Caenorhabditis elegans: one gene and its partner. The protein of the gene in region 2 interacts with the protein of the main gene of each other region in a pairwise test. Each region holds a gene or a part of one and is shown on either strand. Other genes may lie near its edges.

What was found.
Region 1: the proteins of F35B12.9 (region 2) and stn-1 interact in a two-hybrid assay, tested with the Caenorhabditis elegans proteins (one large-scale study listed by BioGRID).

What each region holds. Positions count from the first base shown.
Region 1 is NC_003279.8:9,499,086-9,505,684, reverse strand, and holds stn-1 (Syntrophin-1), read right to left. Parts: upstream 4,418-6,599; 5' UTR 4,364-4,417; coding exon 4,268-4,363; intron 2,810-4,267; coding exon 2,688-2,809; intron 2,247-2,687; coding exon 1,331-2,246; intron 1,283-1,330; exon of another isoform or gene 1,220-1,282; coding exon 1,124-1,219; exon of another isoform or gene 958-1,123; coding exon 865-957; 3' UTR 854-864; exon of another isoform or gene 853-853; coding exon of another isoform or gene 709-852; intron 678-708; 3' UTR 527-677; downstream 1-526. Other genes in the region: F30A10.9 (PIN domain-containing protein), read left to right, coding at 49-114, 169-317, 369-526, 709-852. UniProt on the Caenorhabditis elegans protein: Adapter protein that binds to and probably organizes the subcellular localization of a variety of membrane proteins. May link various receptors to the actin cytoskeleton and the dystrophin glycoprotein complex (DGC).
Region 2 is NC_003283.11:11,599,285-11,603,039, reverse strand, and holds F35B12.9 (uncharacterized protein), read right to left. Parts: upstream 1,870-3,755; 5' UTR 1,847-1,869; coding exon 1,172-1,846; intron 1,128-1,171; coding exon 907-1,127; intron 859-906; coding exon 762-858; 3' UTR 682-761; downstream 1-681. Other genes in the region: dhs-20 (Retinol dehydrogenase 7), read left to right, coding at 95-258, 423-673; srx-84 (7TM GPCR serpentine receptor class x (Srx) domain-containing protein), read right to left, coding at 2,412-2,553, 2,598-2,967, 3,010-3,242, 3,429-3,592.

The DNA of each region.
Region 1 (6,599 bases), on a different chromosome or scaffold from region 2:
TAACGATAATTTTATCGAATAACCTTGATTTAAAACGCAATATTTCAGAAAAGAAGAACAAAGAGTCATTAGAACACCGAAAGTAGATGAACAAGAACTCAAATTGGTCCGTGCGTAAGTTTTATTCGTACGAATATGTGTCCAGACAATAATAATTCATAATTTCAGTCCAAAAATCTCATCCGCTATGTTTATGAAATACAATACACAGCTGGGTCCACCATTTCACGTTATTGTCGATACCAATTTTGTGAATTTCGCCGTCAAAAATCGCATTGACATGTTTCAAGGATTCATGGATTGTCTGTTCGCGAAAAGTGAGTCATACACTTTCTTTCGTTTTCTTGTATTTTATCACAATAATTCAGCTATTGTGTACGCAACTGACTGTGTATTGGCTGAATTGGAAAAAGTGAGAAGATTCAAAATTGCTCTGAAAGTTCTGAAAGATCCACGTGTGCAGAGACTGAAGTGTGAGCACAAAGGAACATATGCTGATGATTGTTTGGTTCAAAGAGTTACACAGGTTCGTTTATTCATAATTTTTCATTGTTTTTCATTTAATAAAATCTAACAAATCTTAAACGAATAAAATCTATTATGACGAGAAGAGGCAGGAGACGGAATGTGGTATTGCTGCAGTCTTTTTGTTTGGCAAACTTGAACAAATAACGAATCTGAAAATGAAAAAAATAATATAATTTTCAGCATAAATGCTATATTGTGGCCACTTGTGATCGTGATCTGAAGCGCCGCATCCGAAAGATCCCAGGAGTTCCGATCATGTACATTGTCAATCACAGATTCTCCATTGAGCGAATGCCTGATGCATATGGAGCTCCAATGAACTAACCTTTTGATGCTTCACGCGTACAATCCTAATCGATACACCTTGGTGGCGAGAAATGAATGAAGAATGAACACGACTGGCTTTGCGGAATTTAGCAAATCCAATTCCTAAATTTTTCATTCATTTATGCTTCTTTTGTTTTGAATATTACTTGTTGATCTGCTTTTATTGTTTTGTTGCCTATCCTTTTTTTTATTCAAAAACTTTACACAAAAAAAATCCGTTTTTTTTCTATAAGTATGAAATTAAGGTTAAAATAAAATCCATTTTTACCTGTTCACCATGTGGTGGTCCAAAATCGACCCAGAGAAAACGACCACCATCATCGCCGGTGGCGCGAATCGTTTCAAACGAATGTTGCCACAGTACCTGAATTGTAAGCTTTAAGAAAATGTAGCTTCTCTAAATGTTATAAATCTTTGTTTTAATCTAGAAAACGTTTATCACTTTCTTATTGCTAAATTATTCCAATGAGCTCACCTCTCCAGTCGACGAAAGTAATGATATTCCATTGTCTAGATTAACTATTAGTTCGCATGATTCGCCTCGCCAAAGACAAGGAGCAGAGACTTGAGATGTAGAAAGACATGCTTCATATCCACCGATCACTACTGCACGAACCCATCGTGCCAGTTCTGCATGAGTTTCTACCCGGATCGTATGTGTCCGAACACCTTGTTGAGTTCCAGTTCTCATACGGAAAGAGATCACATCAGTGAGACCTTTAATTACTGGCGCAGTTCGAGAACTTGTCTGAACGACTCTTGTTGCCACCAGAGGACGTACTAGTCTTGGCTCTGCCCATTCTGCTTTCAGCTGTGGAACAGCTTCATAGAACAAGATCTCACTATTCGTAAGCGTCATAAATTTAGGTTTCCACATTGAAATTCCATTTTCTGATACTTGTTCTGCAATCCAACCCATATGTCTCACTTGGGGGTTGTTACCGAGCATTATATTGACTTGAGCCAGTGCCTGAGTCAGAAGACACGTGGTACAGGCATGTAAAGCTTCAAACCATCCATCTGCTTCTTCACTACTTGAACATCTCATTGCTAGGGAATACCTTCCTGATGGACTTCTCATTTCTAGAATTCTACCTTCTGCATCTGCATCTATTCCAGCTCTTGCCACATATGCAAGCTTTAAACCAATTGTTCTAACTCGTTCCCGAATATCATCATCCCATTCAACATTTTCCACAATATTTTCCCGATGCATCATATCCTCTCTTCTATACTGTACTTGCAAGTCAACAACCCGTCCAGCTCGTTTCAATGCTCTTACAGCTTCTTCGTGTGAAGCATCGAGAAGGTTTTCTCCATTCACAGAGATAATGACGTCATCAAGAAATAGTTCTCCAGCCTGATCCGCTGCCATTCCTTTGAAGATTTTGCTACAATCGAAATTAATTTTGTTCTTTAATTGCTAAATTAAACATTCTATTTCAGAAAAAAAAGTGTCGATTTACGTATCGTGTGTACTGCCCGAGGAGAAGTGTACATTTTTGCAAACAATTTCACAGTTATCGCCTTAAATTCCTAATTTTGGATAATTCGGGAAATACTTTCTGTTTTTGACCGAAAACTGTAAAATCTTCTGAAAAAATTAAATGCTTCTCCACGGGGAGTACACACGCTGAGTAAATCGACACACGATTGTGTACGAGGTTTGCTAGTCCATTCTTCCATTTTTCAGTTATTATAAAAATTTTCTCTAGAGAATTGCCCTTGTCATTAAAACTAAAAATTATTTATCATAGATCAAAATTTCAAAATTGACGTAAAATCACGAAATGGCACACGAGATGTATAAATCTCCGCAAGTTCATTCATACCTGATCACAATAGGCATGTTGTTGTCTCTGCCTCCCTTAATTGAAATTCCTAATCCATTTCCATCATATTTCACAACTCGAACTGTCCGTTTCTCTGCTTCAGCCTCATTCTGCTCCATTGTCTGAAAAATAGTATATTTATTCATCACAGCTTGAACCCATTTCTCTTTGGATTTCACTTCCCTTGCTCATAAATATCCCCTTCCACGTTTCCCGACCAAATTTTAAACAATTTCAAACAAATTCACACATGCTAATGTAATTTTTGGAGGAGACTGAGTAAAATGAAATCATGCAAGCTGGCATACCAATTTGTCAAAAGCCGGAGCTTCGATTGACGGAATACTTGGAGAAGGGGGAGTAGATGACATGACGACTTCTTTTTTGACAAGCAATGGTATATTTTCTTTGTCTTTTCCCAAAATTTCAGTTGGACTGTCATACCAGAGATGAGAAAGATAAGAAAGCAAAAGAGTTATACACATTTTAATACTTGAGAATATATGTCGGAACGAAGAGTTCATATAGACTCCAAGAAGATAATTATTGTAGTCACAGTATACCTTTCTCCATCCGTTTTCTCCTTTTAAGTCGTATCATATACAAACTTCATCTCTAAGTAGCCTCATTCCATTCTTTCTTTTTTCTTCTAGCAAGAACGACTAATAAGTTTTCATAGCCAACTCGCCTCCTTTTTTGAAAAATGAGCCAAAATGTGGCGAAAGGAAAAGAAGAAGAAGAAGCATAGACTATTTGTAATATGATCCCATTCCCGTTTCTGGTTTCCATAGATGGATCTCTTCAGATGATATATTTCGTTCGTGGGCATCAGAAAACTTATGTTCGACGTAATTTCGTAAAAAAATAAATGTTTTATGACGCCAGAATACGGTGCCTGGTCTCGACACGACTGAAAACTTACAAAAAGATTAAAGGATTAAAGGTGTGAAAAATGTGTGTGCGCCTTTAAAACCTACAGTAATCTCCAGACCCAATCTCCAGCAGCTGCTTTTTCTAAAACGAAACAGTCTGCGAAATAGTGAGGATTAGAGCCTACTGTACTTCATAAAGGCGCACATTCTTTTCCGACAAATTTATTTATAACTGCTCGATACGAGGTTCTGGCTCGACCCCGCGCTCCATCGGACGCTGAAATGGCGGGAAAATTTTTTTGAAATCGCAAGAGGAATTTTCACGCAGCGCGTTGAAAAAGTGTATGCATTTGCGCGTGACGGTGTTTGCACAAAATACACCGAGGGGTCGAGCCAGAAACCCGTGCTCGATCGTGTTGAGACACGGTACCGTATTCTTTTGTCTTGAATAGCAAAATTTCGCATTTTGGTATTAATAAGAACGACCACTATTTTTCAGCAACTTGTATCATTCCACATTAGAAAAATGAATGATATTTTATTATACCGAAATTTAAATTATTTAACAATAATTGTTTCAAATATAGATTTTTGTTCGTTTTTAGAAACCATCCAATTTATTTTTAGAATTTCGCGAAAAATGAGTTGTTTTACAATAATTTCCAGTGGTTTTCTAGTTTTCGGAATATTTTATCATTAAAAAATTACTTGTAATGTGATAGCAGTTGGATCGAGAGTAGCCAATACACGATGCCATTGTCCCTGAACAAAAATGTCGACCAGGCCGGATCGAACGGCGGCCATCGAAACGACGCCGATCTAATCGGAGCAATACTACGAAATTGAGCCGATTGTACTCTGTAAAGTTGAATATTGCATATACCAATTTATGCCAAAAATTTGAATTCAAATTCGGGAGGATTTGTAGCGGAATGAAGGAAAGCGAGAAAAAAAACCAGAAGAGAAAGATGCTAAGAAGCAAAGAAACAGAAAGAAAAGGGGCAATAATAGAATATTTGGGCTGTGGGAGCAGCAGAGGAGTCCTCTCTCTTCTATTTCCCCTCGTTTTTCTTCTTCTCTCAACTGCTCTCTTCTCCGTCGGATGAAGCCGGAGAGCTAGTGCGACGGCACTCCTGCTCCCTCTTCTGCCTAACATGCTCTCTGATGAACTCTACCGCGCACTCCGAGTCTCGCTTCTTTCTCTACATCTCACTCTTTCTTTTTCCATCTGACTCTCAGCTTGGTGCCTCGAATTTATATCGGTTATGATTGTGTGTTGGGCGAAGAATCCCGTTGGCTTCCCGCCACGAGACGAACACTTACACACTACGTGACGAACACATGCAATTGTATTGTTGAAGAGAGAAGAAGCAAGTTGATCCTTTATTCTTTTCTTTATTTTCTTTCTCATTTGGTTGTAGTTGTAGTTTTCTGTGTCGTACGATATATTACAACCAATTGCAATTACTACATTAATCAGAAGTATTCCCTTTTACAACTTTTTTTATACAGTGAAAGTTAAATATTATCCAATTTAATTCCTATTTTCGAAATAAATTGAAATTACTATTAGGTGTTCTGTTTTTCGTGATGAAATTTAATTTTCAATTGCTGCTCTAGATACTTTAGCTCTCTAACTACAGTACCCCAGCAGAAATGCAATCTTTAAAAATCTATAGAAAATCCATCTGAAAATCCATCAATGTTTTTTCTTCCAAAAGCTATTCTATTCTGTGTCAAACAATTCTGAAAAACTTGAGAAAAAATTGAATAATTTTAGAATCTTGTTCCTTGATCTTTCTTCAAACATTTAGATCATTGACCGTATCTGATTTCTTTTTCCCTCCCTCCCCTCCACCAGTTATTGTTTCTCAATTTTTTGACGTTGAGCTTTGTTGTGTATTGAGCGAGAGACAAGGAGAGAAGTAGTTTATTACAAGAAAGTGTAAGAAGTAATGAATTATAAAGAGAGGTCGCTTACGCGATAAGTTCATGATGACCCAAAGGTCACGTCTGTATAAAGTTCAGGTTTACGTTCCGTCCACAACATCTCCCCTCTTATATGACAAAAAGCCAGAAATTATGCCTGGGCTAGGGGCATCACGACCAGAGGCGGTATATCGACCTCTGCGGCGAGTGGAGGCATGATCAGTGTTTGGGGCTGATCCTCGCACAACTTGTCGTGGGTGACTCTGTCGAAGAGAATGACACAGGAGGATGCCGGGTTGGAAACGCTCGCCGTCACTCGCAACATCGGATTCCAGCAGGGGGTCCAGATGGGTTTCTTTGATTGGCGAACTTCCAGAAGTATATGATTGGCGACTCTTTGCCACACGGCGACGTCTTCTGTGGCTTTTCTTCAACGAACTCTTGCTCTCCGTAACATGAATCGTAGTTATATTTGCACAAGTAGCATTTCGAGCATTGCCGGCAACCGACGAGACGACTTCACGAGCAGATCGAGAACCAACAGAATCACAAGCTGACAAATCTGGAGCACTAAAACCAAAAACAGAAGAATCTGAAACTAAAACTGGATTAGCTTCCCTCCCCTCCCCACGGACACCTTGAGCGACAAATTTTTGGCGGCAACTAGAGCGCGGAATGTTTTCCAAGAGCGACAATTTACACGGATTTTCGATGAATGATGAAGCATAGTCATTCCCACGGCTCCGGCGACCGCAAATGTGACGGAGTTGGTTCGTGTGAATTCTTTGAATTCTCGATCCCAACTGTACTTCATAGAGTACTCCGTTCAATTGTCTTTGAACCACTCCATAAATCCAGCCAAAATTGTGCTCTCCTTGAACCCGAGCAAGGCACAATTGCCCAATCTGAAACGCTTTATTGCGCGCAAATCTTACATACTGGCGCTTACTACTACGCGGCGCAGATGCAACAACATGTCTTTCAACATTTTCAGCACGATCTTTGTATCCAGTAGGAATCCTTGAGAACGAGTGCATATTTTGCTTCGAGTTATCCACAGTGGATATATGATTAACCATTACGGCCAGAGCATCACGCATTTGAGGCGAGT
Region 2 (3,755 bases):
GTTTCAGAATAGTTCAGGAGTACAAGTAAATGCATCTCCTAAAATTGTTTACTCAACTTTCAAGTGTCACTAAATCGTATGACTATAATTTCAGGCAAGAGCTCTACAATTTCGGAGTGAAAGTGAGCATTCTAGAGCCCGGAATATTCCGTACTCCATTGTTAGATGAGCAAGCTATGCTGAAGAGAGTTGATCATGTTTGGACACAAATTGACGATGAAACTAGAACTGAATACGGAGAGACATTTAAAAATTATTGTGAGTTTTGGAATACACATATTAGACTTTCAAAATTGGATGCAAATATACTTAATTAAAATATGTAAAAATTGAGATTGTTAAAGGGTGTCCAGGGTTTTTTAAAAATAATATCCCAAAAAATTCAGAACCAATCACCTGATACATAACAAAACATATTTCAGTTGCAAAAATGTGGAACAAGACCTACATCTCCATGAGCACAACAAAAATTCATTACGTCGTTGATAACTACTATCATGCTCTGACAGCAAAATATCCACGTCATCGGTATTACTGTGGATGGGATGCAATTTTTGTTTACGTTCCATTGTCTCTTCTACCAACCTGGTGGGCTGATTATGTTATCAGAAGTCTTGGAAAACAAGAGGTTGTTCCAGCATGTCTTGAGGATAGCATGAAGAAGAAAAACTAAAGAACATTGATAATCAAACATTTTATACCAAAGTTTTAGTTACTGTATATAAAAATAAAAAGATTTGAAAAAGTTTCCAGTAATACAACTACTGTGGTGTCTTCTTGGAGACTGTCTCAACGACAATAGAAGAAGGAGTGTAAGTTGGTGGAAGAGTTGTTGGCAATTGCGGAGCTACGGTTTTTCTGCAATTATTTTTTAAATGCATTTTTTGAAATTTTCATCAAACATACTTTGGAAAGCATTTGGTATATGCTTTCTTGGTGGCGAAAACGAAAGCAGCAATCAGAACAGAAAGGACAAGAATGTCGAATGTATTGAAGTTGAAATAAAGGAATTGGGATGTAGAAGATGGTTCTGAGTCATGATAAGATGGAATTATTGGTGGCATGTCCTCGTGTTTTTCAATATTCTTCTTGTCCTTTTCAGGGACGTGAAGAACATTTGAGTTGACCTGTAGGAATAATAATAAAGCTTTGTTATTTTCATTAAACATGCCTGAACATGATTGACATTTACGTGAACATTGTTGTTTCCATTATTATTAGACTCCATTTTGCTAGGAGCCTCGACTGGAACAAACAAGTAATCATAATCCAATGGAGGTGGTGGTCCCATTGGTCCGATTGGTCCAAGTGGTCCTGGATATCTCTCATTTGTGCGTTGTTCCTCGTCGAGTTTATCCAAATATATTTGTCCAAGAGCAGTCAGGAAAACTTTCTCTTCAGCATCATCCATTTTGGGTTTCATTGTCTTTGGTTTTGGGCCTCTTGCGAATTCTGGATCAACTGGTCCTTGGATCATGATTGGTTCATCGTCTTCAACAAATCTGTTCATTTTCTGTTGTCTAACCTTATCATCATAAGCTTCCAATTCTTCAGATGATGGACGGTCAAAGAATGTATTTTTCTTCTTTCCAAAAACGTCCAGCGGAGCTTCGTTGAACTTCCGTTTTGCTTGAATCATCATATCTGGATCGATTCTTCTTTGTTGATTAGTGTTCTTGTTTTGAACAACGTTATCTTCAAATGAGTCTGCTTCGGAGCTTATCGAAGATTCATCAGAAGAATCGGAAATATCTCGGAATTGTGGACGCGGGGGAGCATGTTGGCGGAACGCTTCGACTGAAGAAACGGCTAGAACAGAAATAAGTATCAGCAATGAATGCTTCATATTTCGATTGGCAGTCAATCACTCGAACGAGTGAATATTTGAAAAGAACCGAAATCGGTGGAGCGATTCAATCCCACTAAAAACGGTTTTGTTATGTGGGATTAGAGAGGATCAATGCGGATGTATGAGAAAGTTTTTTAAACGCAAATAACAGAACAACTCATGACATGATTGGAACCAGACAAAAGATGTTTTAACCTTTTTGTAGAACTTGTTGGATTTGTGACGTGGCAGACAAGATTGGTGAAATAACTGGAAGTTCAGACAGAGACCTATTATTTCAAATTGTAAAAACAAATTTGATTGAAAACAAAAATGCTCATGAACAATAGACACATATTATCTCTAGTGATTGTCAATTTTTCGGCTAGAACTGCCTTTTTAGCACTTTCAAGTGAAATTAACGTTTAGAAACTGGCTTTCACAAGTCTCCAATGAACATTATTCCAAGCAACCGAAAATCAGTATATTTTTTTCATTTATGTTAGAATTTCAATACCCTTAAAAAAATAATTCATAAATAATGCAGAACTACATAATTCAAAACTTAAAATATTAAATACGGCTATACGACAGGAGATGGAACTTTCATTGGTGTTACTGTGGCGGTTCCTTTTTCTTTTGATGCAACTGATGCATTTGTTGAAGATGCAAAAAAAGTTTTCTGCAGAAATGTGAGCCTTTCATTGAACATAACCATGATTAACCTAAATTTGGATTATTCATAAATACTTTCTTTTTGGAATCTAACCCATCAATTGAATGAAGACATTCCCATATTACAGTACCACAAAAAAATGACCACAATCTCTTTGTACTTAACAGAGACAGCCGAAATGTGAAGATCATATCAATTAAGGTTATACTATCCTGAATCATAGTTTGTAAAAATAGAACTTTGTTCTTCTTCAATTTCCGCTTTCTTCCCTTTGTCGAAAGATCTGTCGATTTATAGAAGAAATATATTTTAGCAAATATCGCTGCGTTTAATATTACTAAAACGGTTTGGAATATAGCAGAAGTATTGATATTTGAAGAATTGTCGTCATCTTTACATTGTTCACCCATATTCGGAGACCATGCAAGATCATAAGATGTATAAACCATCCAACACTCCAAAGCTAAATAATTAAATTAAAATTGATGAACGAGTTCACACTTACGGATGTAATGAAAAAACTCCAAAATAATTTTGACAAATCTATATATAAACATTAATAATGTTATAAGAAATGTTATTTTGAAATCGAATATTTTTGGATAGTATGTAGGGAAAAACATAGCGCAAAATCTGTTTAAAGCAATGTAAACTCCGGTATACTGAAGTCCAGAGTACAAACTATTTGAAAATCCAATAACTAGTGTTTCATAAAATGGGCTGAATGGAGAGGCCCCTCTGAAATTTTTTAATAACAGAAAAAATTTTTCTTGAAGTCTTCTAAGATTATTAAGCTCAATAATTAGAATATTAAAGCAGTATTGAATTTTTTTTCTAGGAAAACGAGCAAGTACCTATGTTGGAAAGAATTGAACTTCCCAACTCTGAAAAGTTAGAAAGAAAAATGTTTCGAAAGAAACTCACATTAGTGTAATCGGTAGAAAAGTTGCCAAAAATCCCCATGTTAATATTATTGTGTTTCCAATTCCTCGAAAAACACAAATAACATTAAACGATGTTCTCTCTGTCGGTGATTTTATGAATATATAGATAATTAGCAAATTTGTGACAGTTCCCATAATTCCGTTCTGAAAGCAAACGAAAGTTTATGAACCCGATTGTCTACCAATTAATACATCTATCTAGAAAATTAAGTTTTTGGGGAATCTGACCAGCTGATTGTATTGTTTTCGTTGTTTTTCGTGGAAAATTCAAAGATTAGAAATCGAATATAAAATTTTAAACATAAAA